Linked DNA regions of Elephas maximus indicus. The protein of the gene in region 3 interacts with the protein of the main gene of each other region in a biochemical or structural test. Links are inferred from orthologs where the notes say so. Each region holds a gene or a part of one and is shown on either strand. Other genes may lie near its edges. The genes, in order: CYSLTR2, ADRB1 and MAGI1.

Evidence for each region.
Region 1: the proteins of MAGI1 (region 3) and CYSLTR2 interact in a test that uses a peptide from one of them, tested with the Homo sapiens proteins (2 studies listed by IntAct, with this or other methods). The link is inferred for Elephas maximus indicus from reciprocal best matches to the Homo sapiens genes MAGI1 and CYSLTR2.
Region 2: the proteins of MAGI1 (region 3) and ADRB1 interact in a test that uses a peptide from one of them, tested with the Homo sapiens proteins (2 studies listed by IntAct). The link is inferred for Elephas maximus indicus from reciprocal best matches to the Homo sapiens genes MAGI1 and ADRB1.

Annotation. Positions count from the first base shown.
Region 1 is NC_064832.1:30,343,670-30,353,295, reverse strand, and holds the start of CYSLTR2 (cysteinyl leukotriene receptor 2), read left to right. Parts: upstream 1-5,641; 5' UTR 5,642-5,699; intron 5,700-6,293; 5' UTR 6,294-6,401; intron 6,402-9,626. UniProt on the Homo sapiens protein: Receptor for cysteinyl leukotrienes. The response is mediated via a G-protein that activates a phosphatidylinositol-calcium second messenger system.
Region 2 is NC_064834.1:64,995,573-65,006,065, forward strand, and holds ADRB1 (beta-1 adrenergic receptor), read left to right. Parts: upstream 1-6,588; 5' UTR 6,589-6,691; coding exon 6,692-8,080; 3' UTR 8,081-9,452; downstream 9,453-10,493. UniProt on the Homo sapiens protein: Beta-adrenergic receptors mediate the catecholamine-induced activation of adenylate cyclase through the action of G proteins. This receptor binds epinephrine and norepinephrine with approximately equal affinity.
Region 3 is NC_064838.1:71,686,113-71,696,444, forward strand, and holds the start of MAGI1 (membrane-associated guanylate kinase, WW and PDZ domain-containing protein 1), read right to left. Parts: upstream 4,663-10,332; 5' UTR 3,793-4,662; coding exon 3,480-3,792; intron 1-3,479. UniProt on the Homo sapiens protein: Plays a role in coupling actin fibers to cell junctions in endothelial cells, via its interaction with AMOTL2 and CDH5. May regulate acid-induced ASIC3 currents by modulating its expression at the cell surface.

The DNA.
Region 1 (9,626 bases), on a different chromosome or scaffold from region 3:
ATCTCCCCAAAACCTCTCCAACATTTGCTATCTTCTCTTTTTTATATTCATACCAGTAATGTCAGGGTGAGATGGTATCTCACTGTGATTTTGATTTGCATTTCTCTAATGGCTAGTTGTCTTGAGCATTTCCTCATGTGTCTATTAGCTGCATGAATGTCTTCTTTGGTGAAGTGTCTGTTCATATCTTTTGCCCATTTTTAAATTGGATTATTTATCTTTTTGTTGTAGAGGTGTTGGGTTTTCCTGTAGATTTTAGAGATTAGACCTTAGTTGTATATGTCGTAGCCAATTTTTTTTTCCCGGTCTGTAAGTTCTGTTTTTACTCTTTTCGTGAAGACTTTTGATGAACATAGGTGTTTAATTTTTAAGATTCCAGTTTCTACCTTATCTTCCAGTGTTTTTGAATTGTTAGTTATGGTTTGTATCTGGTTTATGCTGTTTATTAAGGCCCCTAGCGTTGAGCCTGTTTTTTCTTTTATGATCTATATAGTTTTTGGTTTTATATTTAGGTCTTTGATCCATTTTGAGTTAGTTTTTGTCTGTGGTGTGAGGTTTGGGTTCTGTTGCATTTTTTTTACAGATGGACATCCAGTTTTGCCAGCACCATTTGTTGAAAAGACTGTCTTTTCCCTATTTAATGGACTTTGGCCTTTGTCAAAGATGAAGTGACTGTAGGTGGATGGATTTACATCTGGATTCTCAATTCTGTTCCATTGGTCAATGTGTCTGTCATTGTACCAGTACCAGGCTGTTTTGGCTACTGTAGCTGTATAGCAGGTTCTGAGCTCAGGTAGTGCGAGGCCTCCTACTCTGTTCTTCTTCAATAATGCCTTTTACTTATCTGGGGCCTCTTTCCTTTCCATATAAAGTTAATGATTAGTTTTTCCATCTCATTAATGAATGCTGTTGGTTTTTGGATTGAGATTGCCTTGTATTTGTAGATTGCTTTGGGTAGAATTGACATTTTCACAATGTTGAGTCTACCTATCCACGATCCTGGTATGTTTTCCCATTTATGTAGATCTCTTTTGGTTCCTGCAGTGGTGCTTTGTAGTTTTCTTTGTTTAGGTCTTTTACAACTCTGGTTAGATTTATTCCTAAATATTTTATTTTTTTAAGGGGTTATTATAAATGGTATTGCTTTCCTGATTTCCTTTATTGGTGTGTAGGAATCCCACTGACTTTTGTGTTTGTCTTGTATCCTGCTACTCTGCTGAATCTTTCTATTAGTTCCAGTAGTTTTCTTGTGGAGTCCTTTGGGCTCTCTATGTCTAGTATCATATCATCCATGAATGGGGATAATTTTACTTCTTCCTTACCAATTTGGATGACCTTTATTTCTTTTTCTTGCCTTACTGCTCTAGCTAGAGCTTCCAGTACAATGTTAAATGGAAGTGGTGTTAAAGGGCATACTTGCCTTTTTCCTGTTCTCAGGGGGAATGTTTCCAGCCTCTTTCTGTTGAGAATGATATTAGCTGTTGGTTTTCTATAGATGCCGTTTATTATGTTGAGGAATTTCACTTCTATACCTATTTTATTGAGAGTTTTTATCACAAATGGGCGTTGAACTTTGTTGAATGCCTTTTCTGGGTCAATTGAGACGATCAGGTGATTCTCTTCTTTTGCTTTATTTATGTGGTGGATTGTGTCGATTGATTTTTTTATGTTGAGGCATCCTTGCATACCTGGTATGAATCCCACTTGGTTGTAGTGTATTATTTTTCTGATATGATGCTGAATTCTGTGGGTGAGAATTTTGAATCTATATTCATGACAGGTATTGGTCTTTTTTTTTGGATGGTGTCTTTGCTTGGCTTTGGTATAGGGTTATACTGGCTTCATAGAATGAATTTGGGAATATCTTTTCCTTTTCTATGTTCCGAAATAGTTTGAGTTGTGCTGGTATGAGCTCTTCTCTGAATGCTTAGTAAGATTCTCCAGTGAAGCTGTTTGGGCCAGGACTTTTTTTTCTGCTTTGCTTTTGGGAGTCTTTTTATTACCTCTTCTATTCTCTCTCTTGTTATAGGTCTGTTCAGATTTCCTATCTTGGTTTGTGTTAGTTTAGGTAGGTAGAGTGTTTCTAGAAAATTGACCATTTCCTCTTGGTTTTCAAATTTGTTGGAGTATAATTTTTCATGGTATTCTGTTATGATCCTTTTTATTTCAGTTGAGTCTGTTACCTTATTTCTTATTTGTTTTATTTGCTTCCTTTCCTGTTTTTCTTTTGTCAGTTCGGCCGATGGTTTTTTGATTTCGTTGATCTTTTGAAACAACCAATGTTTGGTATTGTTGGTTCTTTCTATTGTTTTTCTGTTCTCTATTTCATTTATTTCTGCTGTAATCTTTATTATTTCCTTTATTTTTGTGGCTGTGGACTTCTTTTTTCTGCTCTTTTTCTATTTGTTTGAATTGTAAGGCTAACACTTTGATTTTGGCCCATTCTTCTTTTTTTGATGTATGCATTTATTGGTATAAATTGAACTGTGAGCGTTGACTTTGCTGTGTCCCAAAGTTTTTGTATGATGTTTTTCATTTTCATTCATTCTAAGAACTTTTTGATTCCCTTTTTGATCTCTTCTATTACTCAGTTTTTTTTTAAGCAAGGTGTTATTCAGTTTTCATGTATTTGAGTTTTTTTTCCCTTGTTTTTCATGTTATTGATTTCTACTTTTACAGCATTGTGATCAGAGAGAATGCTTTGCATTATTTCAATGTTTTGGATTTTATTGAGCTTTGCTTTATGTCCTAAAATTTGGTCTATTCTGGGAAATGTTCCATGGGTGTTAGAAAAAGATGTATGCTTTGGAGCTGTTGGGTGGAGTGTTTTATATATATATATCTATGAGGTCAAGTTGGTTGATTTGTGGGTTTTCTTTTCTTTTTATACATTTTATGTGTACTGAGACTTTTTCTCCTTTTTCCTCTGATGAGTGGGTTTGTTAGGTCTCTTTATGGTTACCTTGAAATTTACCCTTACCTTCCTAAGTTTAAACAGTCTTTTATTACTTGATGTTGCCTTAATTTCTCCTCCATTTGAAAGTTCTGTACCTACACTGTTTATTTCCTCTTTTAGAGTTTTGACATTGTTGTCATTTACAGACTGGTGTCTGTGTTTCCTGTTTTAAGTCTATTAGCCTTGTTTTATTATTGAGAGTTCTTTACCTAGGTTAGTATCTGTCTGATGCTGTCCTGTGTGCTAGACCCCAGTTGTTGTTTGATGTTGTTGGTTCTCTAACCAAAGGTCTTCCTTTAATATGGTTTTAAAATTTGGTTTGGTTTTAATGAATTTCCTTAAATTCTGTTTATCTAGAAATGTCCTAATTACATCATTGCAATTGAGAGATTTTTGCAGGGTATATTATTCTTGTTTGCCATTTTTTTTTCTTTCTTTTCATATGTCATCCCATTGTCTCCTTGCCTGCATTGTTTCTGCCAAGTAATCAGAGCTTAGTCTTATTGTTTCCCCTTTGTAAGTGACTTTTCATTTTTCTCAAGCTGCTCTCAGAGTTCTTTCTTGGTCTTTGGTTTGGCAAATGTGAATATGATATGTCTTGGTGAGTTTCTTTTGGGATCTGTCTTAGGCTGGTTCTCTAGTAAGGCAAAACCAGTAAAGTATTTAATTATATAGAGAGATTTATATCAAGTAAATGGGTCACATGGTTGTGGAGGCTGTAATGTTCCTAGTCTGTGGGTTATGATGGAGGCTTCTCCTCATTCACATAGCCACAGGGCCTGGCAAACCCAAGATCGGCAGGTCAGAGAGCAGGGCTCTTGCTCACAGGCTGCAAAGACTGATGAATCCCAAGATCAGCAGGCAAAATGGCAAGTAAACTCCTGGCTTAAGTCCCAAGAATCTGAGGTCAGATGAGCAGGAGCCAGCTGAAAGATCCAGAGGAAGCAAAAGCCCATGAATCTTGCCAGAGTCCACCTATATTGGATGCAGGCTACACCCACAAGGAAACTCTCTTTTGACTGGCTATTCAAACAGATCCCATTGTTGATGTGATCACATTATATCATATCTCATCATGGAAGAGATCACATCATCATATGGCTTCCAAACTACATCATAACTGTCAAACCACTGAGAATCATGGCCCAGCCAAGTTGACACACGACCTTAACCATCACAGGGTCTATCCTATATGGAGTTCATTGAGCTTCTTGGATGGTCAGCTTTTCTTCTTTCATGATACTTGGGAAGTTTTCTGCCAGCAAATTTTCAACAATTTTCTCTATGTTTTTCATTTTATCCCCCTGTTCTGGAACTCTGATCACATGCAAATTTTTGCTCTTTGATTGTGTCCTTCATAATTCTTAGGTTTTCTTCATTCTTTTCTCTGATTTCTCCTCAAAGTAGCGTCCACGTATTTGTCTTCAGTCTTGCTGATTCTGTCTTCCATTGATTCAAATTTTCTCCTAAAACCTTCTACTGAGTTGTCAATTTCTGAAATGTTATCTTTGGATTTCTAGTTGCCGTTTTTGTATTATTTCTAATTCTTTATTCATTTTGAAGTTTTGTTCTTGAGTTTTTTTTCCTGAAGTCTTCTATTGTTTTGTGTTTTCCCTGATTTTGCCTGTTTTTTTTCCATGTTCTCCATGATTTTGTTTGTTTTTTCTTTGGTTTGGTCTGTGCTTTACTTCATCTCTTTCTTAATCTGTTGGAGAGCCCTAAATATTAGTCTTTTGCACTCCATATTAGGTAGTTCCATTCTTTGTCTTCCCTTGGTTGGTTATCTGTTTCTTTCTTTCTTTTTTTGCTGGAGCCACATTGCCCTGCTTTTTTATATGTTTTGGTATTGTCTGCTGCCTCCAAGACATCAAGGTACGGTTTTCTGTATTTATTGATTGTGTGTTTGTTTGTTTCATCCTGATCTTTGTTTTTGTTTTTTTTTATATGTCAGGGTGGGCTGGCCAGGCATGCTTTGCCAGTTGCTCATCATGGACACAATAACTGTCACCACCTTGTCTGGCTGGGCAGAGCACTAGCATGTATTGTGAGCCCACTTTGCTGTACACTTGTTTGGTGAGGTGCTGAGGGCAGACTGGGGGGTGCTGTCTACCCCTGGTGTTGGTCCAGCGATGTGAGAGCATTCACAGTCCTTTGCGAGAGAGGTGGGAGTGTCAGACAGGAACTCGTTCAGCAGCTGGTTGGGTGGCAAAATGGGAGGGGCAGTGTAAGTCCATTGCATTGGTGGGCCTGAGGCAAGCATGCTTTAGCCATGGCAGCACCACAAGGGCCAGTAAGAAGAGGGGGCTGGTGTATGGGGCTAAGTAAGGGAAATAAAGAAAAGAAAAAAAATGAAAGGGTAACTGGAGTGTGGGCTTGGGGTGTACCTGGGGCCAGTGGAAGTGGGAATGAAGCGTCTTACAGGGCTAGCTGGGAGAGAGAAAGAAAAAGAAGAAAGGAAAGAAAAAGAAGAAAGGAAAAAAAATGGCACAACAGGAATTGGTGGGTAGAGTTGGGGCGGACCTGGAGTGATGGCAGACTAGTAGCTCTCTAGCTGAGAGGCACAGCTTTGCCTGTTGGGAAGGGGTTGGGGTGGTGTAGGGGGCTAGGCAAGAGGGAGAAAGAAAGGGAAGAGAGAGAAAAATATTGCACAACAGTAGCTGGTGGGTGGGGTGGGGCAGACCCAGGGTGATGGCAGGCCAGTAGCTCTCTAACTGAGTGGCACAGCACTGCCCATCTGGAAGGGGTGAGGTTGGCATATGGGGCTAGGTGGGAGGGAGAAAGAAAGGGAAGAAAGGAAAAAATAATGGCACGACAAGAGCTATCAGGTGGGGGTGGGGTGGACCCAGATGATGGCAGGCCAGTAGCTCTCTAGCTGAGTGGCATGGTGTGGCCTGTCAGGAAGGGCTGGGGGTGGCATACAGGGCAGAAAGATGAGGAGTGGGAAAGCGTGTTTCTCTGGTTACTGGGTGCTCTGTCTCCTGTTGCGAGCTCTGTGGAGTTACCGTCCTGTACTTCCTGTCCAGGATCTTTGCTGGCTGTGCACCAAGATCTAGTTGTGCTGGACTCAGTCTGGTGGAGGCTGTGGTAGTTTTGGCCCATTAGTCCTTTGCACTAATCTCTCCTTTGTGTCTTTGGTTTTCTTCATTCTCCCATGCTCCTGACGGAGTAAGACCAGTGGAGTATCTTAGGTGGCTGCTCACAAGCTTTTAAGACCCCAAACGCTGCTCACCAAAGTAGAATGTGGAACATTTTCTTTATAAGTGTGTTATGCCAGTTGAGCGAAATGTCCCCCGAAACCATGGTTCCCAGCTCTCAGACCAGTAATTTCATCCCTCAGGGAGTCTGGATGTGTCTGTGGAGCTTCCATGACCTTGCCTTGGACAAGTTGTGCTGGCTTCCTAAACAGAATGCTTTTAATATTTCACCGATGAGTATGATGTTTGTGGTAAGTTTTTGATAATATCTTTTACCAGATTAAGGAAATTCCCTTCTGTTCCTAATAGCTTAAGTGTGCTTTTTGTTTGTATCAAAATCATGAATGTATGCTAAATTTTATTGAATGCTTTTTTGGTTATATATTGAGATAATCATGTATATCTAAAAATTTTCTTAATGTGTTAAATTAATAGGATTTCATGTCTTAAAACATCCTTACATTGTTGAAATAAACTCTAGTAAGTCACGATTTTTTTTACACATATTGCTGAATTCAGTTCCCTAATATTTTGCTTATGATAATTACATTCATGTTCATACCTAAGCTTGACATACAAATTTTTCTTCTTATACTTTCTCTCCTTTTTTAGTTGAGAAGTAATTCTTCTTTTTCTATTATCTGAAACAGTTTGTATGGGTAAAGAGTTATCTGCTCCTTACAGTTTTGGTAAAACTTGTTTCTACAGTCTTCTGAGCATAGTGCTTTCTTGGTGTGTAGATTTTTGGCTTCTGATTTAATTTCTATTACAGATATGGTTGGGTTTGACAGTCATTCATTACCAGCAGTAAGTCTCTACCAGTTATTTGCAGCAATTGTCTGTTCTCATTTTTTTGTCATTTGGATTTATCATTCCCCATCCCTATACCCATTGTGAATGTTTTTTAATATCCCTTCTGGACTCATCTTGAGTTACTTTAGATAATTTACATTTAACCAAAACCAAAAACTCTATTTGATCAACGTTTTAAAATGCATTATCATGAAATTATTCAAAATATTTAGTTAAAATTTTAACAATCTTGACAGTAAACCCTTTCATTCCTAATATGATTTATTTGTGGCTTCTCTTTTTCTTGATCACATTTGCCAGGAGTTTACTTAGACTTTATTTATGTTTACATAATTCTAATTGAGGAGGGGGTTGATTCTATTGTTTTTCTCTAAATTTTATTTTGAATAGTGCTGCAGTGAACATTGGGGTGCATGTATCTGTTCATGTTCTGCTTTCAGGTCTCTTGGGTATATATCTAGGAGTGGAATTTCTGGGTCATATGGTAGTTCTACATTTAACTTTTTGAGAAACCAGATATTTCACCAAAGTGGATTTTCAAAAGGCCAACAAGCACTTCAAAAAAATGTTCAACATCTAATGATTGTTGTTATTGTTAGGTGCCGTCTAGTCAGTTTCAATTCATAGCAACCCTGTGTACAATAGAATGAAACACTACCTGGTTTTGCACCATCCTCACAATCATTATTATGCTTGAGCCCATTGATGCATTAACCATTAGAGACATACTAAGGATGGCTAAGATAAAAGCAAAAACAAACAAAGAAGAATGGAAAATAACAGAGGTTAGCGAGGATGTGGAGAAATTCGAACCTTTATTCGTTGCTGGTGGGAACATAAAATGGTTCAGTTTGCTTTAAATTTTTTCCCTCATTATTCTTGTTATGATGCAGATTCACTAGGATGTATAAAAGAGGAATTTATATTTATTTTTTTGCTCCGAACTCATACGGAGAACTTATACTCAATCTGAGTATTCTTTCATCAATTCAGTTCTTTTAAGCTCTAAGGCCACAGTCTTTTTTACTCTCTAGCTTTTTGGTACACTATAGTCATACTTTATGGGAGACATGCAGTTATGGAGATTTTGCATTATTAAAAATTCATTTAAATCAAAACTAATCTTTGGAGGCGGAGCCAAGATGGCAGAAGAGACAGATGCTTCCATCGAGCCCTCTTTACAAAAAAGACTCAAAAAAACAAGCGAAACCAGTATATTTGTGACAAGCTGGGAACCCTGAGCATCAAAGGTAAGCTTAGACAGTGAACTGAGGGGCAGAGGGAGGAAGAGACCGATCAGAAGCAAAGAAGACTTACCAGACCTGAATCACAGGGAGCCCTCAGGCACCATTCCCAGAGTGGCGACTACAGCGGTGGCGGCGGGCTGGTCCTAGCGTTCAGCTGCAGTTTTCTCAGGGAGAAGCAGCCAGCCACACAGCCCACTCACACCCTCAGAGCCTGAGGAGAAGGGCGCTCTCGGCAAAAGCTAAGTACTTGCGTATATTTTACTGCACCCCCCACCCCCAACCCAGCTTCAGCGGCTGAATCCCTGGGCCTGAGATAGACTCTGGTGAGCACCTGGAGCCGTCCTCCTGGCCTTGGGGAAGGAAAAAATTTGCAACTGGGGGGAAAAGATAATTTGCTAGCTCCATTAACTGGGGGAGCTCAGGACAGAAGCAGCTCCTGTCCAGGCATAAACTGTCCATGGACCTTGAGCACCTTTCCCTTCTGCATGGACTGTGTGGGTCTATTTCGGGAGAATAGGCCCTTGATGGCAAACACCAACCATTTCAGCTGTGCAGTGGAGAGGTGGGTGTTTCACATTTGACATTGCTTTACCTATTAAACAAGGTTCTCAACTACTCACAACAGGGACCTGAGGACTGGTGGCTCCACGTGGGTTGCCTAGCCACCTGTGACAGGGGTCCAGGGATAACTGGTACCTCCCAGTCCTTACAACCAAAAACTTTGGGTGCCCATGGTCCCTCTGCAGAGACCATCCACCAGCACGCTCTAGGGAACAGAGACATGTTTCCTCAGAGACACTTGGGGGTCAGTTCTCAGCCCCCTGCCTTGTTCAGAGCGTGAGCCCCCGCTGCAATCAGATACTGGTATATACGCCAATCACCCCTGCCCCTCTAAGGCTGTATGACAGAGCTGGTACCACACACTTGACATCAGCTACCTGGAAACCTGAGCTGAATTCATACAAGAAAACTGAATGGACTCCTAGACTGATATACCTGATAACAGCTCTAGCCAGCTGGAGAAGGGAAACCAGCGCTCCAAAGGTGAAAATAATCAAGCTAGCTCACTGAAGCAACCCATAGGCGTATACCAAAACAAAACAAAGCAAGCAGCTACGAGACAGTAAGCAAGCATAAACTAATACAATAACTTATAGATGGATCAGAGACAACAGTCAATATCAAGTCACATAAAGAAAAAGGCCATGATCACCTCAACAGGCTCTCAAAACAAAGAATCCAGGAATCTTTTAGATGAAAGTGAATTCCTGGAATTACCAGATGCAGAATACAAAAGTTTAATATACAGAACCCTTTAAGACATCAGGAAGGAAATGAGGCAATATGCAGAACAAGCTAAGGAACACATAGATAAAGCAACTGAAGGAATCAGAAAGATTATTCAGGAACATAATG
Region 2 (10,493 bases), on a different chromosome or scaffold from region 3:
TCAAAGCAAGAAGCCTGACCACAGTGGTTATTAAAACCAAAGTGGCAGCAATACTGCATCGCTAGTGTCTTCAGACCCTGCTGTCGTAAGGCAAAGGACTTGGCAGACTTCTCCTTACTGAGTGGGTCTGGATGAGCATCTATGCAGTACATAAATACTGAGTACGTTTAGAACAAAAATATTTATACAATCCAAAGAATTGGAAAAACAGATGAAAGAAGATACCTGTTTGGCCTTCTCAAAGAAGTCAAACGAAAAGAAAGACATTTAAATGATTTGTTCTGTCACCCAGAGGCAAAGAAGACAACCAGCTTCTTCTACCAGTTCCCTTTGGCAACTCTATTCAGTTGGGTGGCCCAGGATGCCATCTTCCATGGTTGAATGGAAAATACAATGTCTTCTTTTATTTTAGGAAAACCACTGAACATAAGCTTTTAAGTGATTCTTCTATTCCGCTGGAATTTATTAAGCACCTACAACCTGGTCAGAATAAATGAGGGCTAAGATGTTTAAAGGAATCGACTTGAGGGCACTGGGTGGTTTTTAAGATGTTTAAAAAGCATCATTCCTATCTTTCAGGAGCTTAAACCAAGGGATTGGGGAATTTTTGCTGCTATAAACTCCTTCTTCAGCTTTTTAGACTATAATTGTTTATCTGCAACACTGTAAGAGCCTGTTAATATAAAAGCTAGAGTGTGCAATAATTAGCACAGCTTGTTGTCATCACAAGCTCTGGACTTGGGCAAAGTGAAGGACAACTGTTAGCCAAATGGTGATCATGGGTAGTGACAACACTTCCATTGCTACCAGCACTTTAAGATAAGATTTCACCTGATGGCCAATCAATTTTTATTCATTATACAACTGAATAAGAGTAGAATTTTTGAAAGTTGGTTTACATTTTGTACTGCAAAAAAAAAAAGTTTTTTTTGGTACTGGGAGTCACGACACTAGTCACTTGAAAAAAAAATCCTTTCTCTGCTGCTAATACTTCACCACTGAAATACCTTAGAAGAAATTTATTTCAGAAAATCACATAAACATAAATACTTTAAACAAAAAAAAAAGAATACATCTGAAGAACGGTGCCAAAAAATAAAGCAAAAAAAAACCTACCTTTTTTAATAAGATGACTTGCCAATGGTAAAAGCGCTTAAAAATAGTTCACTGTTACCAGTCTTCTAAATCATATTAATATCTAGTATGAGGAAGAAAGGAGAAACTGAAAAAGAAAGGCTTATTTCGGTGAATTAACTATTTTCGTAGTCACACCTTTCTTTGTTTGAAATGCGATGATAATTGGATAAGACAGCAATAAATGCTTCACAGGTATAGGGTGTTACATGAGATTTCAAGACGCTTTCATATACATTATCTCACTCAATTCACACACAACCCTGTGCAAGAATGAATGACAAGCCCGTTTCCAAGGTGAAGCCACCGCTGAAGGTCAAACAGAAAAGTGACAAAGCCAGGACACAAATCTGGATCTTCTGCCTCCCAGGTCAGAATACTCTCCAATACATCCAAATTTTGAAAAATACTATTTTTGGCTCTGGCGTTGTTCAATGTACTTATCAAGCACACAAGGAAGAGGAGGAGGAAGTGAAGAGGGAGGAAGTGGGGGAAAGAGGAAAGCTTTTGAATTTTCCAAATAGTCCACAAGTTCCTATGATTATACCGCTGTCTTCTGTGTTCACTGTGATCACCGTGGATGGAGTGGCTTGTCCCTGTGTAAACTGTGGTTGTAAAACCAACATATGACCTTAAATCGCAGCCACGGGCGCAAGCTGTTCTTTGATTACTTAGCACTAAATGACTGTTTTAGCAGTTGTGTTTCTCATGTGAAGAGAGATATGTCTTCTCTCTGAAACAGTCACTTGAGCTCTGATTAATAAATTCCCCCACCTATTATCAGTTTCAAGACAATTTTTGCTAGCCAACTGTTTGGCCACGCTTCTTGATGTTTTACTTGGAAATCTGTCCCTCCCCAGGACTTCCCTGGGCCCACCTTCCACCAGCTGTGGAGGCAGTCTACTCCCCTTTCTTTTTTAACTTATGTTCTAGCAAAATCAACTCAAAAATGGAAATGTCTTTGCCGGTACCTGGTGCTGTTGACTTGATTCCAACTCATGGTGACCTCATGTGTTTCAAAGCGGCTGTGATCTTTCAGAAGTAGATCAAGAGGCCTTTTTTCAGAGGCATCTCTGGGTGTATTTGAATAGCCAAACTTTTAGTCAGTAGCCAAACACTTAACTGCCCACCCAAGGACTATATATTATGATGAGCCCACTGTCTTTGAGTCGCTTCCATCTCATAGCAACTCAACAGCACAGAGTAGAGCTGCCCCATAGGGTTTCCTAGGCTATAATCTTTACCGAAGCAGACTGCCACATCTTTCTCCCATGGAGTCACTGGTAGGTTCAAACTGCTGATTTGGCTAGCAGCCAATAAGATAGTACTTTTTATTATGCAACTTGCAGGGCCCCTTTGGAAAGCCTCTTGCCTATGTACTTCTTTATTCATTACTCAGTGTGGTATCTCATGAGCCTACCTTGAATTTGTAAGGTGTTTTGAAATGTTTACATGGAAATGCTGACTAGGCTATAGAAATTTGACTTATTATGACAAATTATAAGCATGAGTGAAAATTATAACTCTCAAAACACTAGATTATTTCTCATATGAGTAAATGTGAAATGGTTTAATATAATTAAAATATAAAATATTTATGAATCAATGCTAAGTGTTAATATTAGGTAAATATTAATAAACATGGAAGATATAAAAATGTATAGGGCAGCCCTGGCTCTTGGCGAGCTTATAATCTACAAGGAAATGCATTTCTGTGAGTGATAAAGCTAGAATTTGGTTGTAGAGGTACTTAAGTTTCTCTGAATTTCTGTTTAAAAAAATACATTAAATTAGAAACATTCAAAACCAGAAGGGTATTCTTGCAGGAGTTCCCAAGCAGGGCTATAAGCATAAAGAGAAAAACCCATTTAAAAATTAAATAACAATATAAGAGGCATCAAAAGGCAAGAGATTGCTAATTGCCACCTAAATGGCAACTGGAAGAGTAAGTCAGAGGAAGGAGAGACCATGTCTCGCAGTCAGGGACCAAAAAAAAAAAAAACCAAACCCATTGCTTTCATGTCAACTTTCTTAGCAGCCCTATAGGACAGAACAGAACTGCCCTATAGAGTTTCCAAGGAGCATCAGGTGGATTCGAACTGCCGACCTTTTGGTTAGCAGCTGTAGCATTTAACCACTACGACACAAGGTTTCCAGCAGTAGGGGGCAGGGAAGAATATAAAAGAAATAAGACTTCAGCCAGGTCTTGAAAACTGAATCTAGTGAGACAGAGGAGGAAGGGATTCTTGGTGGAAGCAATCAGCGGGAAAGAGTTGAGAGCCAAGAAAGGAAAGAGTTAAGGACTGCAGGTTAAGGTGACATGGACAGTTCCAATGAGAGAGAACTCTGGAAAGGCCATTTGGAACTGGACTGTGGAGGACATTGAATGTCAAGTAGAGTTCAGGTTTCTGAACAGAAAAGCATGTTGGTCAACGCCCTGTTTTAGAAATATTAACCCGACTGTGGTATGCCAGAGCAAATCAAGGGGACGGACTAGAGGCAGGGAGATGACATAGAGCCCGTGGCAGGTTCTGGTGTGGCGTGACGGACGTGAGATGGGAACAGGAGAGGTGTGGGTGGAAAACACTGAGAGAGAAGCACACTACCTCTCAAGTGTGCTGATTAGCATCATTGCTGGAGCTCTGTCATTTTCTAAAGTATTGTCCAATGTGTGGGTTCAGAGCTGATTCATTTTAACAATTGTAGATGGAGGATGGAGGGATGGAGGAGTTATTCATTTTGAAGTTGCAACCCCCAAAACATTTAATATCTGTGTAAGTTGATATGTTGAACCTTTTCCCCTTGATCTTGGATTCTCATCTAAACACTAAAAGTATTAGCCAAAGTATGTCTCAAAAAGTCATGAAATGGAGGAATTAAGGGAGATATGGGAACATTTTCTTTTAAAAACAAAGCTAATTCAAGTTCAGCATGGACTCTTCCAAACTTCTCAGTCAGTACGCCTGCAGGAAAGCCCCAAGAATAGCTGGCGCCCCTTTATGCTTATAGCCCTATTTGGGAACTCCTGCTAGAATACCCTTCCGGTTTTGAATGTTTCTGATTTAATGTATTTTTTTATACAGAAATTCGGAGAAACTAGATTTAAGTACCTCTACAACCAAGTTCTGCCTTTACTCACAGAAATGTATTTCCTTCACCCTTCAGGGGCACTTAAGGTTGCCACACTCTATTCTGGTAACACCACTTGACAGAAAGATGGCGCCAGATAGAACGCCTTTCCTCCACATTCCCCACCCCACAGCCAGGCACTCAGAACCTCTTTTCTGGGCAGCATCAATTTCAACTCTTTCTAATCCCCTGGTTATTTTGAGACTATCCCTTGAAGGCCTGAAAGAAGGATGCATTCTCCAGCCTCAACTCTTTCTAGACCCTCTTGTTTCCTGGCTCTCTCTCCTCATCCTCCTCAAATTGGCAGAAGTAGGCCGGTAAGTCCTAGGGGAGGGGCGAATAAACAAATAAATCACTCCCCAGTTGTAGCACTCTGAATACCAAGTTTGGACCTAAAGCATTTCTATATACTTAGATTTAAGTAAGAGAAGGTAGTTAAAACTACTTAACTTTATAAACTTAATAGGCATTGCTTTTTGCCCTTAAGCTGAGTAGCTATGGAAGTCAGTCTCTCTCTACAAGGTAAGAATATAAATTTGGTCCAGAAGTTGATGTTCCTTCCAGATGCTGATTTATTTTTATGCCAATGCTAGAAAGATGTGTGAGCATTATATAACATTTTCACATACCCTTGCATAAAAAATTAAAAGTGGTTTACTTCTCAAAGATGCAGTGAAACATTCTTATTTTTCAGGCCTGAGCTGAGGACATTACCATGGTCGATCAAATTAGAGAAGAGGGTTTGCTGTCGCTCTGATGTTGATGGCAATGCTATCAGTCCCCCCACATAATCCACCCACAAAGGGCAGATTTCACTGATTTCAAACCGATTCCCTAGCAACTCAAAAGCCACTGGTCTATCTTTAAATGCTTTCAGATTTTAAACCTCTTGAGTATTTATGTATTTTCTTTTCATATCCTTCCAAAACTAACCCCAGAGTTTTGAGAAATCTGGAAACTTGGGCAAAGGAGAAAACAACCCTGCAGACCAAGAAGTCTGAAATCGTATTTTTATTCCTTCAACCCAAACTGGCAGGACCTTTTTGTTTGTATTGACCCAGCTCAAATTATAAAACCATATAAGTAATAAAACACAAAATACAGGTGTTATCCCTGAAGGTAAAAAGACTGAAATGTAATTAAATGTGCCCTTTCTTCGTGGCGATGTCATTTACTTTGTAGGTTAATATTTGTGTTTCCTAAAAATCTCTCTGTTTTTATTACAAACACACACGGTTGCATCATACTCACACATTCATTATTTGGGACTGAGGAGTGTGTGTTTTTCCAACTCGGTCTCAGCGTTAGCTGTTGGATGCACAAACATCCGCCTCCTTTCTGCGTCCACTGCACTGGTACAACAGGAGCCGGTTGCAAGAACAGCGCCCCGAGAGCGTTGCTGACAGATGCGAGGTTTGCTCCTGCCACGCGCTCGGCTGGGAAGTTTCCTCTAACCACTGACACCCCTCTCCAATCCCCCGAGCTGACAGGACGCAGGCTGGCTGGGTCCCCTTTTGATGAGGGAAGGGTTTTGCACACACCCTGCTAGGTTGCCCGATCAAGAAACAATCTCGCTGCCAAACTCCTCCAACCTCAGCGGACAGACTGTCTAAGGCGCTCTGGCGCTTCAAGAACACCGAGGTCCCCTCCCGGCTAAAAGGAGCACGCGCTCTGCTCTGCAGGAGACCGGGCACTGGAGGTAGAGGGGAGGCCAGGGGGCCTGGGGGTGCAGAAGAGTTGGGGGAGGCGTTGAAGAGAGCGGGATGTGGAAGAGGGAGCCGGGCGCTGTAGGCAAGAGGGGCTTAGAAGCGAACGGAGCGTAGAAGCCAGTGGGCGGGGGGGGGGGTCACAGGACGGGGCGGGGACGCGGAAAGGAGCCCGGCGCGGTAGCCGGCGTTGGAAGAATGGGATGCAGGACTGGGCGCGCGCAGGAACCGGTGGGCTCCGAGGTGGCGCTCGCTCTGAGCTCTGCCCCCAGCTCCCCCAAGCCACTTAATTGCGGGTGAGAGGGAGGTGCGGGGACTTGGGGAGGGGGGGAACAAGATAGGGGCGTGCCTTGGCCCTGATAGGCTGCAGGAGCCTGACGCGACGCCCAGGGGGTTGGCTTGGACCGGGTGGGAGGGGGGTGGGGGGTGCTGGGTGCCGGAGCTGCGAGCCCGGCGCGCTCAGAAACATGCTGAGGTCCCGGCGGCTGTTCCAGCAGCGGCAGCGGCTCCAGCAGCAGCGGCGGCGGCGGCGGCGGCGACAGCGCTAGGCTTTGGCTCAGGCTGGGAAGGCGCCCGGCGTCGATGCCTCAGGTCCGGCACCGCGACTGTCCTGACCCGGCCGCGACCTGCCTCGGAGCGCCCCGCTGCAGCGGCTTCTGGGGTGTTCTCCAACCACGACCCAGCCCCGCCACACCCCCTGCCCCTGGCCTTCGCAGCTCGGCATGGGCGCGGGGGCGCTCGCCCTGGGCGCCTCCGAGCCCTGCAACCTGTCGTCGGCTGCTCCGCTTCCCGAAGGCGCGGCCACAGCCGCGAGACTGCTGGTGCCGGCATCGCCTTCCCCCTCTTTGGTGCCCCCAGTGAGCGAAGGCCCCGCGCCGCTGTCGCAGCAGTGGACGGCCGGCATGGGCCTACTGATGGCGCTCATCGTGCTGCTCATCGTGGCGGGCAACGTGCTGGTGATCGTGGCCATCGCCAAGACGCCGCGGCTGCAGACGCTCACCAACCTCTTCATCATGTCCCTGGCCAGCGCCGACCTGGTCATGGGGCTGCTGGTGGTGCCGTTCGGGGCCACCATCGTGGTGTGGGGCCGCTGGGAGTACGGCTCCTTCTTCTGCGAACTTTGGACCTCGGTGGACGTGCTATGTGTGACGGCCAGCATCGAGACCCTGTGTGTCATCGCCCTGGACCGCTACCTCGCCATCACGTCCCCCTTCCGCTATGAGAGTCTGCTGACCCGCGCGCGGGCGCGGGTCCTCGTCTGCACCGTGTGGGCCATCTCGGCCCTGGTATCCTTCCTGCCCATTCTCATGCACTGGTGGCGGGACAAGGGCGAAGAGGCGCTCCGCTGCTATGAGGACCCCAAGTGCTGCGACTTCGTCACCAACCGGGCCTACGCTATCGCCTCGTCCGTCGTCTCCTTCTACGTGCCCCTGTGCATCATGGCTTTCGTGTACCTGCGGGTGTTCCGCGAGGCCCAGAAGCAGGTGAAGAAGATCGACAGCTGCGAGCGCCGCTTCCTCGGCGGCCCCGCGCGGCAGCCCTCGCCCGCGCCCTCTCCGACCCCTCCGCGCGCCCCTGCCCCGGTGGCCAACGGCCGCGCTGGCAAGCGGCGGCCCTCGCGCCTCGTGGCCCTCCGCGAGCAGAAGGCGCTCAAGACCCTGGGCATCATCATGGGCGTGTTCACGCTCTGCTGGCTGCCCTTCTTCCTAGCGAACGTGGTGAAGGCCTTCCACCGCGACCTGGTGCCCGACCGCCTCTTCGTCTTCTTCAACTGGCTGGGCTACGCCAACTCGGCCTTCAACCCCATCATCTACTGCCGCAGCCCCGACTTCCGCAAGGCCTTCCAGCGCCTGCTCTGCTACGCGCGCCGGGACGCCCGGGGCTGCCATGCGGCCCCCGGCGACCGGCCGCGCGCCCCGGGCTGCCTGGCTGTGGCCGGGCCGCCACCGTCGCCCGGGGTCGACGACGACGACGACGACGACGTTGGGGCCCCACCGCCCGCGAGCCTGCTGGAGCCCTGGGCCGGCTGCAACGGCGGGGCGGTGGCGGACAGCGACTCGAGCCTGGACGAGCCGACCCGCCGGGGCTCCGGCTCGGAATCCAAAGTGTAGGGCCGGGCGAGCTGCGGGACGCCAGGGCCCCGCCACGCTGCCGGCCTGGGACGCGGAGTCTGCGTCCCGGGGAGGAGGAGCGCCCGGGCACCCTGGAATGGCTTCCCAGGGGAAAGGGGAGAGCTTGTGTTTACTCAAGACCGAAAGCAGGTGAATGCGACGCCCACAAACCTCGTCTGAATCAGCCAAGACAAAAAGAAAAGCCACGCACCGTTGCACGAAAAGGAAAGTTTGGGGAGGGATGGGAGAGTGGCTTGCGGGTTTTGCTGGAGTTCTTTGATGTTTGTGGTTGGCCTTCTTCTGTGTGTGCGGGTAATGCATCTTTAGATTTTTGTTTTCCCCCTCCACGTGGTTTTTTGACACTTTTCGACAAGGACCAGAGTGAAAGTTGGGTGGATAGGGGAAGGGAGAAGCATTAGGGAATAAAAGTATCTCGTTGGCGTCCACCCCATTCCAGGGGAACAGGAGCATTCAGCTGGGGCGGGGTAGGGGACAGCTTGTCAGGGCGTGTTCCCTTTTGCTTTCCAGACAGTTTTCATTTTAACTTCTGGGTAACGATTCCTCCTGTTCTTAAAGCAAAGCGAAAGGATGGATGCAGAAATCGTGTTTCAAGCCATTTTCAGCTATTCTTAGAACAAGCCTCACCTTGCTTAGCTTTCGCAGGGCTGACTGGCTGCCCCCGCCCGCCCCGCGCGCCTCGGTGGTCAAGCTGAGGGCGTTCTACCTCACACTGTGCATATTGCACAGCAAGATGCAAAGCCTTGTTTATATTAAACAGTTTATTTATGTATCAATATTAGTTTGAAGGACCAGGCACTGAGCCTTTGTGACATGTGACTCTGTCCCTTGAAGACGGGACAGAAAACTTTTCAAAAAAGGAAACAATTCTAGTATCAAAACAGATAACTGCACATTTGGGTAAAAACAAACAAAAAAGAGAGTGGCTCAAAATGCCATTTTTGCACAGTGTTAGAAATTTTGAAGTCCACAGATGTTACTTGCACAAAAAGAAATGAAATGTTTTTATGGGGTGGGGAAGTGTCTTAAAAACTAAAATAAAATTCGAACTCTTCTTCTGTTGTCTATTGTTATTTGAGCTAGCGATTTACTGGGAAAATACCTTTTTATACTCTTTTATCATGGTACTGTAACTGTATCCATATTATAAATATAATTATTTGAAGGTTTTTTTTTTTTTTATGTCCAAGTGTCCCCATGAATCTGCTGGTAAAATTTAGCACTCGTGTGTAAATTCTATTTCCTCTTGTGTGTTTTACCAAGTATTTATACTCTGGTGCAACTAACTACTGTGTGAGGAGTTGGTTCACGTGCAATAAATGCCAGTGAAGCACAATCAAGGTTATGTATGTGTGTTTGTAAAGGGTCAGTGATAATGGAAAGGACAGCTTGTTTTGCTCAAAATACAGATGGGATTTCCAAGATAGCCCTTCTAAAAGCTTTTCATGACTCAAAAATGTCTGTAGACCAAAAAGACAAAAAAAAAAAAAAGGCGAGCACCTCCTGAGAGCTGCAGACTTGCCCTACATTTTCACAGGTGGATTCAGGGTGTTCCAGGCTCCTTGTAGGCGTTGTCAAGATCCCATCTGCTGCACTTGACTTCAGAAATGTGAACACCGTGTGGAGCACAGCTCTACTCTGACACACATGGGGTCATCATGAGTCAGAGTTGACCTGATGGTAACTTTTTTTTTTTTTTAATCTTCTAAATAAAGCAATCGGCCTGGTAACAAGGCTGCAACGTTGTACAGAAATATAAGGAGAAAGACTAGTGCTTTCAACAGTAAGTTGCTTCCCTGGAATACGGTAAGTGGTTTCCATGGCCCATTTCTGTTTTCCAGTGGAAAATCACTTCAGTGTTCAGTGTGTGCATATTTCTCCCGTGGCTGTTTAGAGTGAAAAATGCTTTCATGCCTAAGTAAAAAATTTATAGAGCGTCTTCTTAAGTAAATACTTTTTCTCTTCTGTAATTAGATAGATCACTTCAGCAGTTCTGGGTGGGCAGGTCACAGGTAAAAGCCAAGGGTGAAATCATTTCACTTTGTAACGAAATTATCACACCCCACCGGATGAGTTTTTTTTCCCCATGAAATTAGTTCTTAAGGAAAGCATAGTGAAATTCCATCCTGAAACTGAATGTGTTCTCCAAAATAAGTTTAAGTATCTCTCTTTGTATTTGTAAGCTCAGCTTTTCATATTGTGATTGTCCAGTAAAGCTTAGGACATAAAGCTGTGGCTCTTGTCGTGCTGTAACACTGAGCAGACTGTATTCTACTAGGGAAAGTCCAGACTGATGACCCTTTTTTGCAAGGGGATATTTTAAAGACTTGGAAGGAAGCTTCTGAGAAAGGTTAATAATATAGACGTTTTAGAGTCTAGCAGAAGGTTGCATGAA
Region 3 (10,332 bases):
GAAAAATCTGAGACAGTTCTCCTCTGTCACTTGGGGTCCCTATGAGTCAAAATCTACTCAACGGTATTCAACAACAACAGACTAGACATAAAACACTTGCTCTGAGAAGGGGCTGGCACATTCCAAGGCAAGTGCTTAATAAATACTGCATACCTCCTACATCAGTTTTCTTACTTTTTTTTTCCTTTCCCCATATACCTCTATTAAATTTTTTTTTTTTTTTTTAATAGAGAACGGCTAAAATTCAGAAAACAGACAGCATCAAAGGTTGGCAAAGGCGTGGGGCAACGGCAGCATCTGGAGCAGCTTTATCGGTAACAGCCAAAGCCAAATGCTCATCGATAAGCAAATGGATGAAGAAGCTGCTGTCTATACACTGGACTAGGACTCAGTAGTTTAAGGAAAGAACAAAAACAACATGAAAAAATCTCCATAACATTTTGTTGAGCAACAAGAGCAGACACAAAAGAGTACATTCTGCACTATTTCATTGATATTGTTAGGAACCAAATCACAACAACATTTGCCTCTGGAGGGGTTGGGGGAAACTGACGGGAAAGAGACCTGAGGGAAATTTCCGGGGTGATGAAAATGTTCTATATCTTAACTGGAGTGATGATAGCATGAGCGTATACATTTGTCAAAACTCAAACTATACACTTAAGATCTGTGCATTTTACTGTAAGTTAATGATACTTCAATAAAGTATATAAAAACATATATATATTTTTTCTTTTTTTCCTAGTTTAGGCACCTTCTGAAACACAACAATCTTCTCCATTTAAAATGAACCAACTCCAACCCTGCAGATCCACTTAGCTGGATTCCTTCACAATCCAGTCCTGCGTCTAATACCATTTGCTAGACTATTTTGGCGCGTGCATCTTTCCAGGGAGATGCCATAAGGTGGAAACAGCAGAATCTTCTCCCACAATAAGACTGTGACATTTCCATACAGATAGCACGCAGAGTGACCCGCATCACTGGCAGTGGTTAACTCAAGGTGTAGACAATACAGAAATAACACTTTTCTTTGCCACATACCAAATATGGACCTGCCTGATATTAGGACACAGTAACGAAGACACAGTAAGTGCAGTTCTGTCATGTCACTTAAATTACATTCTCGGTATAAAAAAGGGAACAACAGCCTGATGAAGTGGCTTCTAGTGCCATCTTTACTAGCAATGAAGACATAAGAAGAGCTAACTGTTGTCTGTGTAATTATTATGAGAAGTAATAGCTTTCACACTGTAGTGGATTCCAGGCCATTCGGGATTCCTCATCAACATTTTTATTCTACTCCATTACAAGTAATTTTATATACACACACAGCTGCTGTGAACATTATGTGCACACAGAATAGTTCTAAGAGACTATACTTCCCTTTGAACCCACTTCTAAACCCACCTGATTAACTCCCCAACCCTTCCAAAGCTCCATAATGACGCAGCCCTGGGACAATGCCTCCTGTCTCTTTTGATGGCCAGTGAAGAGAGGAAGCCCAGCTATATGCAGCATCGGGCACACTGAAAACACGTCCCCATGGGCCCATCGGACACCACCAGACACCCCACTAGGTTGGCCTATCCTTTCTCCACCCCTTTCTCCAAAATGCCTGCATCCATTCCCATCAAATGTCCTGACACAGTATTTTCCCTACAACTCTATCAAATCCTGATAATTCAGGTCCCTGACATCAAAAGTTAACCTTACAAAGAAGTAAGTACTCAATTCAATTCAAACATAACAATAACTCACCTTTACTGAACACTCAGTACATGCCAGGCACTGTTTTGTGCACTTCCTGTACTAGTTTACATAACACCCAGAAGAAAGCCATTTTATAGATAAGGGAACACCCTCAGAGGTGGGTCTCAAGCAAAGGCTGGGGAGAAGGGCTAGGAATGAGGCACAGTCTCTCCCTGCAGTAAGCTTACTACCTGGGACAAGAGGAGTAGGACCCAACTTGTAGCTCTAAGTTAAAAACCACAAGGTACACATCAAGGGAGCCCAGAGGAAGAAGGATTTGTTCATCCTGGCAGGAACCTGGAAGGCTTCTTGGAGGAAGTGTCCAAGTGGAGATGAGGACATAAATGGCCAAAGATTTTCATAGCTCAGTGTCCACCCCTCAGCTCCCAAAGCTACCAAAGACTTAGCTATCCCCTGCCCCCTCTTCCCTTTCCTGGAACAAGCCTGTTTCCAAGAGAAGCCCAGCCCAGGCCTTCTTTCCTTTGACACATTCCTCCAGCTGCTGTCCACCGACAGACACATGTGGGACCTCTTTACCATGCTCAACTATGTCACCTCCTTTGGTGTTTTCAGGGAGAGAACTGCATCATGGTGTTTGGTCACACAAGGGATGCCTTTTAGAGACTCCAGTCTTCTCTGCTGGACTGATGTAGGAACAGCCCCTTGCTGTCCCAAACCAAGATGTAAGACACCCCTCTTCCTCCTCCCCCAACCAACTGCATCTTCCATCCTCTAAGAGGTAGACCCCTCCAGGCTTCTCAGGGGAAAATCTAGTCTACTTCCTGACACAAGTTAGCCCCTCCAGTCCCTAAGGGTCATCCCCCAACCCCTACCTCCTACCTCCTCAGTGCTTAAGGCTCTGCAACTCAAACCAGGCTTTTGGTAGGGGTGTGACCTTGGGCAAGTCACTTAACCAATGTCAGTCCCGGTTTCCGTATCTGTTAAATGGGGTTTATAAAAACAACTCTTTCTTAGGATTGTGAACCAGAGTGAAATCATACAAGTAAGGCAGCACCCAGAGCCTAGCACGGAACACAAATCAATGAATGGTAGCTATCGTTATTATAGAGGATGATGATAATAATGACAGCGTAAATTGGGTCTAGATTTGCGCTAAGAGTAATACCCCCTCGCCCCGCCCGGTGCTGGGCCAAACGGTGGAGACACATGCGTCATTCGGCTGTGGGGTGAATGCAGAATCTTCAGGCAGCGGGCTTAGGAACCGCCAGGCGAGGGGTTGTGGGGTGAAGCCGATTTTAGGGTGGAGGGGATCCAGTAAACTGAGGACCCTTCCTTCCTTCATACCCACTTTCCAGGTCTGGAAACAGAAAAATGGCAGAAGAAAGTCAGCAGCTGCGCCCGCAGCACTTCTTCCCCCAAGGAGCTGCTGGAGCGTCCACCTTTGCTCCAGCCTCAGTTCCCCAACTCGCCTCCAGGTGCAGGCGAGGCTGCGCTGCGTTTGGTGGCTGAGATAACAGGCTGGCAACCAGGCCCGCGACACGTCTCCCCGGTTCCCTGTTCAAACCCAGACGCCTCTTCCAAAGCAGGTGGGCAAACAACCTACAGTCTCGCAACAACTTTGTGTATGTCTCTACTGCAGGGCACACAGCCTCAACGTCCCCTCTCGGGTTCGCTGCGAGGAGGAACGCGGGAAATCACGGTTAGGGAGACACCCCACAGGCCGTGCAGTTTTCCAGGGGCGCCCCCAGAGGCGCGCCCGGTCTTACCTTGTCTGACGGCTTTGAAGGTGACGGCCTCCTTGCAGCTGTCGACGACTCCCAACACGTCATAGCGGGGCAAGCCGGACACCCGGATCCCCTGCACCTCCAGCAACAGCTCCCCCTCGCCCAGCCTCGGACCCTCTCCTCCGCCAGGAAGCCCCGCCACCTCGGCCGCGGCCACCGCTCCGACGTACGGAAACTCCCCGTTCTCCGCGCCCCCCAGCACCGTCACCCCCAGCTCGCCCTGGGGCCCCCGCTTCACGGTGCATTCGTGAACCCTGCTGGTCCAGTGATTCTTCTTCTGGATCACTTTCGACATGACGAGGTACACCCCTCCTCCAAAAAATAAAATAAAATGAGAGACAGGTGCCCCCCCAGCGCAAGCCTCCAAGCCGCCGGTGGTTCATAGGAGAGCCACCTCCTCCCAGTAACGCCCCTGGAGAGGAACTTGGCGGCCTCGCTCGCCTGCACACACTCGCGCACTCAGGCCATCGTCAAACAAACTTTCTGGGCTTCCCCACCGAGCCTGCACGGGCGCCCGCGCGCTTTGTTTGCGTTCCGGTGCCTCTCGGTCCACGTCCGGGCGCCCGATCGCGCTCGCTCGGACCAGAGTCCACTCTACGCCGCTCCGGGTTTTTTTTTGGTTTTTTTTTTTTTTCCTTCCTTCCTTTCTTTCTTGCCTTTTAGAAATGCGGAGCCTCCTCCTTGCCTCCCGCCCGGCTCGTCCTTCCTCGCTGGCCGGCTGCTCCCGAGGTGGGGCAAGCCCTGCCAGCCCAGTTGCAGGGAGCCCTGGAGACGCGGCGGCGCAGCGGCGCTGAGGGGGAGGACAGCAGGGAAGTGCCCGCGGCCCCTTTAAGCAGATACAAAGGCTCGGCTTGTTTTGTTACATTTCATTCTATTCCGCGCCGCCGAGCGCAGCGAAGCGGCCGGCGGGAGGAGACGCGCGCGCATGCGCCCCGCGGCCGCCTGCCATCCGGCCCGCCCCGCCTCTCCTTCCCTGAGCGAAAGAGTCCAACGGGCTTCCCGTTGGGTCCTAAAGCCGAGCCTGAGAGCAGCCGACTGCCGCCCTCCTCCCCTTCGCACACCGCTGAGCGTCCTCCTCCTTTTCTTTCCGAGGCGTAGACCCAGCAGCTCCTTTTAGGGTTCAGGTTAAAGGATGGTAATTCGCCTCCTACTTTCCAGAACTTAAAAAATATATAGGAAGAGCGCATGTATTTCACTTAAACTGAAACTTTTGAAACATAAAGAATCTGACTTCGGGATTTTAAAACCGCTTCAAACAGGTGGGGGTTGGGGAGGCTCACACACTCCCCCCCGCGTTCACCCTCACCCCCGCGCTCACACACTCACCCCCGCGTTCACCCTCACCCCCGCGCTCACACACTCACCCCCGCGCTCACCCTCACCCCCGCGTTCACCCTCGCGCTCACGCTCACCCCCGCGCTCACCCTCACCCCCCCCGCGCTCACACACTCACCCTCGTGTTCACACTCACCCCCGCGCTCACCTTCACCCCCCCCGCGCTCACACACACACCCTCGCGCTCACACTCACCCCCGCGCTCACCCTCACCCCCCGCGCTCACACACTCACCCCCGCGCTCACCCTCACCCCCGCGTTCACCCTCGCGCTCACGCTCACCCCCGCGCTCACCCTCACCCCCCCGCGCTCACACACTCACCCTCGCGCTCACACTCACCCCCGCGCTCACCCTCACCCCCCCGCGCTCACACACTCACCCTCGCGCTCACACTCACCCCCGCGCTAACCCTCACCCCCCCCGCGCTCACACACTCACCCCCGCGCTCACCCTCACCCCCGCGTTCACCCTCGCGCTCACACTCACCCCCGCGCTAACCCTCACCCCCCCGCGCTCACACACACACCCTCGCACTCACACTCACCCCCAAGTTCACGCTCACCCTCACCGCCGCGCTCACCCTCATCCCAGCTCCCACCCTCACCCCAGCTCCCACCCTCACCCCCGCGCTCACCCTCACCCCGGCGCTCACCCTCGCGCTCACTCACCCCCGCGCTCACACATTCCCCCCCGGGCTCACACTCACCCCCGCGCTCACACACTCACCCTCGCGCTCACACTCACCCCCGCGCTCACACTCACCCCCGCTTTCACACACCCTCGCGCTCACACTCACCCCCGCTCTCACACTCACCCCCGCGTTCACTTTCACCCTCACCGCCGCGCTCACCCCCGCGTTCACACTCTCCCCCCGCGCTCACACACTCACCCTTGCGCTCACACTCACGCACTCACGCTGGCCCTAAGCCTCCTGCCGCCCTCGCCTGTGGCTGTGGATCACCTAGCCCGCTGTGTCCGCCCCCGACACTCCCAGCCAATTTCCCTCTAAACCCCTGAGACCCCCGGGAGGCGCGCCCTTGCTCCCCGCCGCCGTGTGCCCGCGGTTTCGCGTTCTGGCGGGGGATCTGCCAGGATCCCGGGAGCTACCAATCTGGGATCCCTGTGAGCCTCGCACGCCCCCATACGCCGTTAAACTTTGGAGCCAACGTCATAGGACACAGGGAAAAATACAGGCGAGGGAGAGAAGCCCAGGGGCTGGAGGGGTTCGGACCTCCAACCCTCGTTTAAATGGCATCTAGCTTTTTAACTGTCCTTCCAGAAGAGACTTCTGGAGTCTGTCATTTGCCCTGGACTCAAGGTACTGGCGGAGCCGGGAAGCCTGGGGACCCGCCCCGAGGCCAGGAGATAAGGATCGCCACGGAGTCTGGGGCATAGGCGCGCAGCCGCCACCTCTCAGAATTCGAGGCCCCAGGTCGCTCCACCTCGGGAGCCGCCCAGAGGCGGGGAGAGCGTGTGTCTGTCCGGTGAGGTTACAGAACCAGCTCGGCCGCAGGCAGGAGAAACACAGTCGCCACGAAGGCTGCCCTATCCAAATACTCCCTTGATGGGCCTGGGCGGTTAAGGACTTTCCCAAGCGGTTTCTTTTTCCTTTTAATGATTTATAACTTGATTATTCATCTTTAGTCACAGGAGAGAGTCCAAATGCTAAATAAGGGAGGTGAGTTGAGGGGACTGAGAGAGTGGTATGCCCCAGGGGTCAGGTTGAGAGCTGGGCTCCGGAGTGTTGTTTCCCGTGGTCCACTCTGTGCGACCTTGGGCAAGTTCCGTGGTCTCTCAGAGCCTTCATTTTCTGCCCTGTAAGAAGACTGTAACAGTACCTCACGGGGTCCTTGGGAGCGTTACATGGGAGAATACTTGTAAAGCAAATACTCGTCAAGTGGCATATAATAAAAGTATATTATTAGTAGTATTAATACTCAATTTGGAAAGGGAAAGGAATTCATTTGAGGTTTCAGGTTAAATGATGATAATTCATTTACTTTCTAGAACTTAAAAAATGTGTAAACATATATTTAAATATCTTAAAGCACTTTTTTAGGATTCTATTTTATTATAGGGAGCCCTGGTGGCACAGGGGTTAAGAGATTTGCTGCTGACCAAAAGGTCAAATACACCAGCTGCTCCTTCGAAGCCCTATGGGGCAGTTCTGTTCTGTCCTATAGGGTCGCTATGAGTTGGGATTGACTTGAAGGCAATGGGTTTTATTCTTGCTAGAAGTCCCTGGGCGATGCAAAGGGTAATGCACTAGGCTGCTACCCTTAAGGGTTGGGGGTTTGAGTCCACCCCAAAAGCACCTCAGAAGAAAGGGTTGGAGATCTTTTTTCCGAAAAATCGGTCATTGAAAACCCCATGGAGCATACATAGTTCTACTCTGACACACGTGAAGTTGCCGTGAGTAGGAACTGACTCGACAGCAACTGGTTTGGTTTATCCAAGAAAAGAATGTTGATGCTTCTCTCTTGGAATATCCAGAACTTAAAATCTTATTGCCTCCTTGTGTTTCTGAAAGGAGGTGGCCAATTTCCCGTGGCCCTCCTTGGTGAGGGGCGCGTCCTTCATCTCCAGCCTCTTTTCTCAGAAGGAGGTCCCCAGGTGGCACAAATGATTTGTGCTTGACTGCTAATCCACTAGCCGCTTTCTGGAAACCCTACAGGGCAATTCCAGTCTGTCCTGTAGGGTGGCTGTGAGTCGGAATTGACTTGACGCCAACAGACTTGGTTTTTGGTTTGGTACTAACATAAAGGTTAGTGGTTCGAACTCACCCAGGGGTGCGGTGGAGGAAAGGCCTGGAACCTGCTTGCGTAAAGACTACCGTCAAGAAACCCCAATGAGGCAGTTCCACTCTCTAACACATATGGCCGCCACGAGTCCAAGACGATGGGTTGGTTGGTTGATTGTCTCAGAAACAACTGGTTTGTTCCAAACCTGTGGAACAGAATCTTATGGGGAGCTTCAGTAGGATCCTAAACTCAACCCCAGGTCCAGCCATCCCGAATGTCAGGGAGAGGGTCTCTCATCTGGATTTTTAAGGTGCCCCCAAGTGGTGCTGTTACACAATGTTGAGGACCACGGCTCTAGCACCATAATTCCTAAACAATTTTTTTAGTATAAAGCTGTGTATGGTTCATCTTCCTCTGGAGTGTACGCTCTGGGAGAGCAGGAAATTTGGCGGTTGTGTTTACTGATGTATTCCCAGTTCCTAAAACAGTGCCTCACTCAAGCAGCTTCTGTCTCATGGTTACCCCATTGTATTTCAGAGTAGAACTGTGCTCCACAGGATTTTCATGGCTGTGACCTTTTGGAAGCAGGTCACCAGGCCTTTCTTCTGAGGTGCCTCTAGGTGAGTTCAAACCACCAATCTTTAAGTTAGTACCCGAGCACTTAACTGTTAGCACCATGCAGAGGCTCCTAGAACAGTACTTGGTACCTAGTAAATGCTCATGTATTGGTTGAATGAATATTCCCAGAAAAATGCACATTTTCACCTCCCATGTTAGAGGGGAATCCCAGATTACCTTACAAATTACTAGTAAGCTTGATCCTGCGGGTTCCGCCCACCCCCTCCCCCACTCCATAGTCCAGTAAAGACTGATTGCTAGCTAGGAATTCCTCCACCTCCCTAGAATCAGCACCTCTGGACTCCCGCCCCTGCATGGGTAGTCTAGGGGCTGTGCAGGGCCATCTGGACTCCCGCCCCTGCATGGGTAGTCTAGGGGCTGTGCAGGGCCATCTGGACTCCCGCCCCTGCATGGGTAGTCTAGGGGCTGTGCAGGGCCAGGTGCTTCTGGACTCCTCCCACTGTGGTGCTGCCATCTTCCTTCTCCAGGATTCCAGGTGTCCCTGCACCTAAGAGGGAAATGGATGTGGCCTTTAGCACACTTCAGGATTTAAATGTGGAGTAACCCCAGGAGAAGAAGTACATTGGAGTACAGAGTGCAGGATGGAGAAAGGAATAGGGAGACAGGAAATAATTCAAGCCTCCGAAGCAGCCAAAGCTGCCGGTTTTGAAGCATTAGTTATATGTTTGCAAACTCTCTTGCCCTTTTCTCACTTCTGCTGTTTTTTCTGTTTCAGCTGATCTGGTTCCTACGTCCCAGACCGGAAACCCCTTCAGAGCAGAAATCGTATCTGCCCTACCCAACTTATGAATCCTCAGAACCTAAAACAACCCTTGATGGAGACTGTGCTCCATACGCACTTACTGAATAATTGAATGAATGGATGAAATTTGATGTTAAACTGTTTAACTTGTGGCCTTTGACGCAAAGCCAATTTTTATATTTAGTGGCTAGAACCGAGGTATTTGTAGGTTATTTTCTTGGAAGAGTTTGAAGTGAATTTTTCTTGAATAGGTATAAGGTGGGACCCTGGTGTCCAGGTATCTCTCATTTATGCCATGACTTTGGCAGTACATTCCGATGGGGAGAATAATACCGTGAAGTTCATAACTTTGACGTTTACCTGTGTACCAGGATCATTATGGGTATCATTTAATCCTCACAGCAGCCACATAAGGTAGATGTTATAACTGACCAAGAGTGTTATGAACTGAACTGTGTCTCCCCAAAATATGTGTTGAATTCCTGGTCCTTGTACCTGTGGATGTTTGGAAATGGATTTTTCTTTTGTTATGTTAATGAGGTCATACCAGAATACGGTGGATCCTAAACCTAATCACTTCTGAATTAGAAAAAGACCCAGACACACGCAGGGAAGGCAGACACCAAGGAACTCCAAGGAACACCAAGAATCCCCAACAGACACCAGAAACTAGGAGAGAGGCTCACAGAAGGAATTAATATCGTCAAGACCCTAATTTGGACTTTTCGTCACCAGAACTGTGGGAAAATAAATTTCTGTTCTTTTAAAGCCACTCACGTGTGGTATTTCTGTTACAGCAGCAACTAAGACACTGACTTTGCAGTTAAGGGAGGGAAGTGAAGAAATACCCAAGGTCACAGAGCTTGGACATGACAAAGCCAGGATATGAACCCAGAAGCATGACCCAAAGCCCCTGCTCTGAGCCACTTCACTATGAGATGTAGGATATGGGCACCTACTTTTAGCACATTTGGTAAGAGTATATTTTGGCTCTTGAGTCTGCCACATAGTGTATGCACAGTAATTAATCACCCTCTTTGTCTCTTCCCTTTAATCTGAAGGAATACAGTATTCCACTCAGGAACCCAATTTCCTGTTCCCCATCTGTGGGCTCTGAAGATGGAATAATTTCCTGGAATGTAAAGAGGATTAATTTGCAAACATGTCTAACGTGTTTGGAAATCTGTGGGCTGTGGCACAGGTGAAGAGGCAAACGTTCTTAGACCGTTATTGAGGAGGTATTTCAACAACACTCTTAATAAACAGTGGATGCAGATGAAAAATAAACTGTGACACCCAACAAACTCTCAACAGATAAAGATCTTGTTTTCATTCAGTAGTTCTACTTGGAGGGTTGAAAAATAAAAAACACAAATA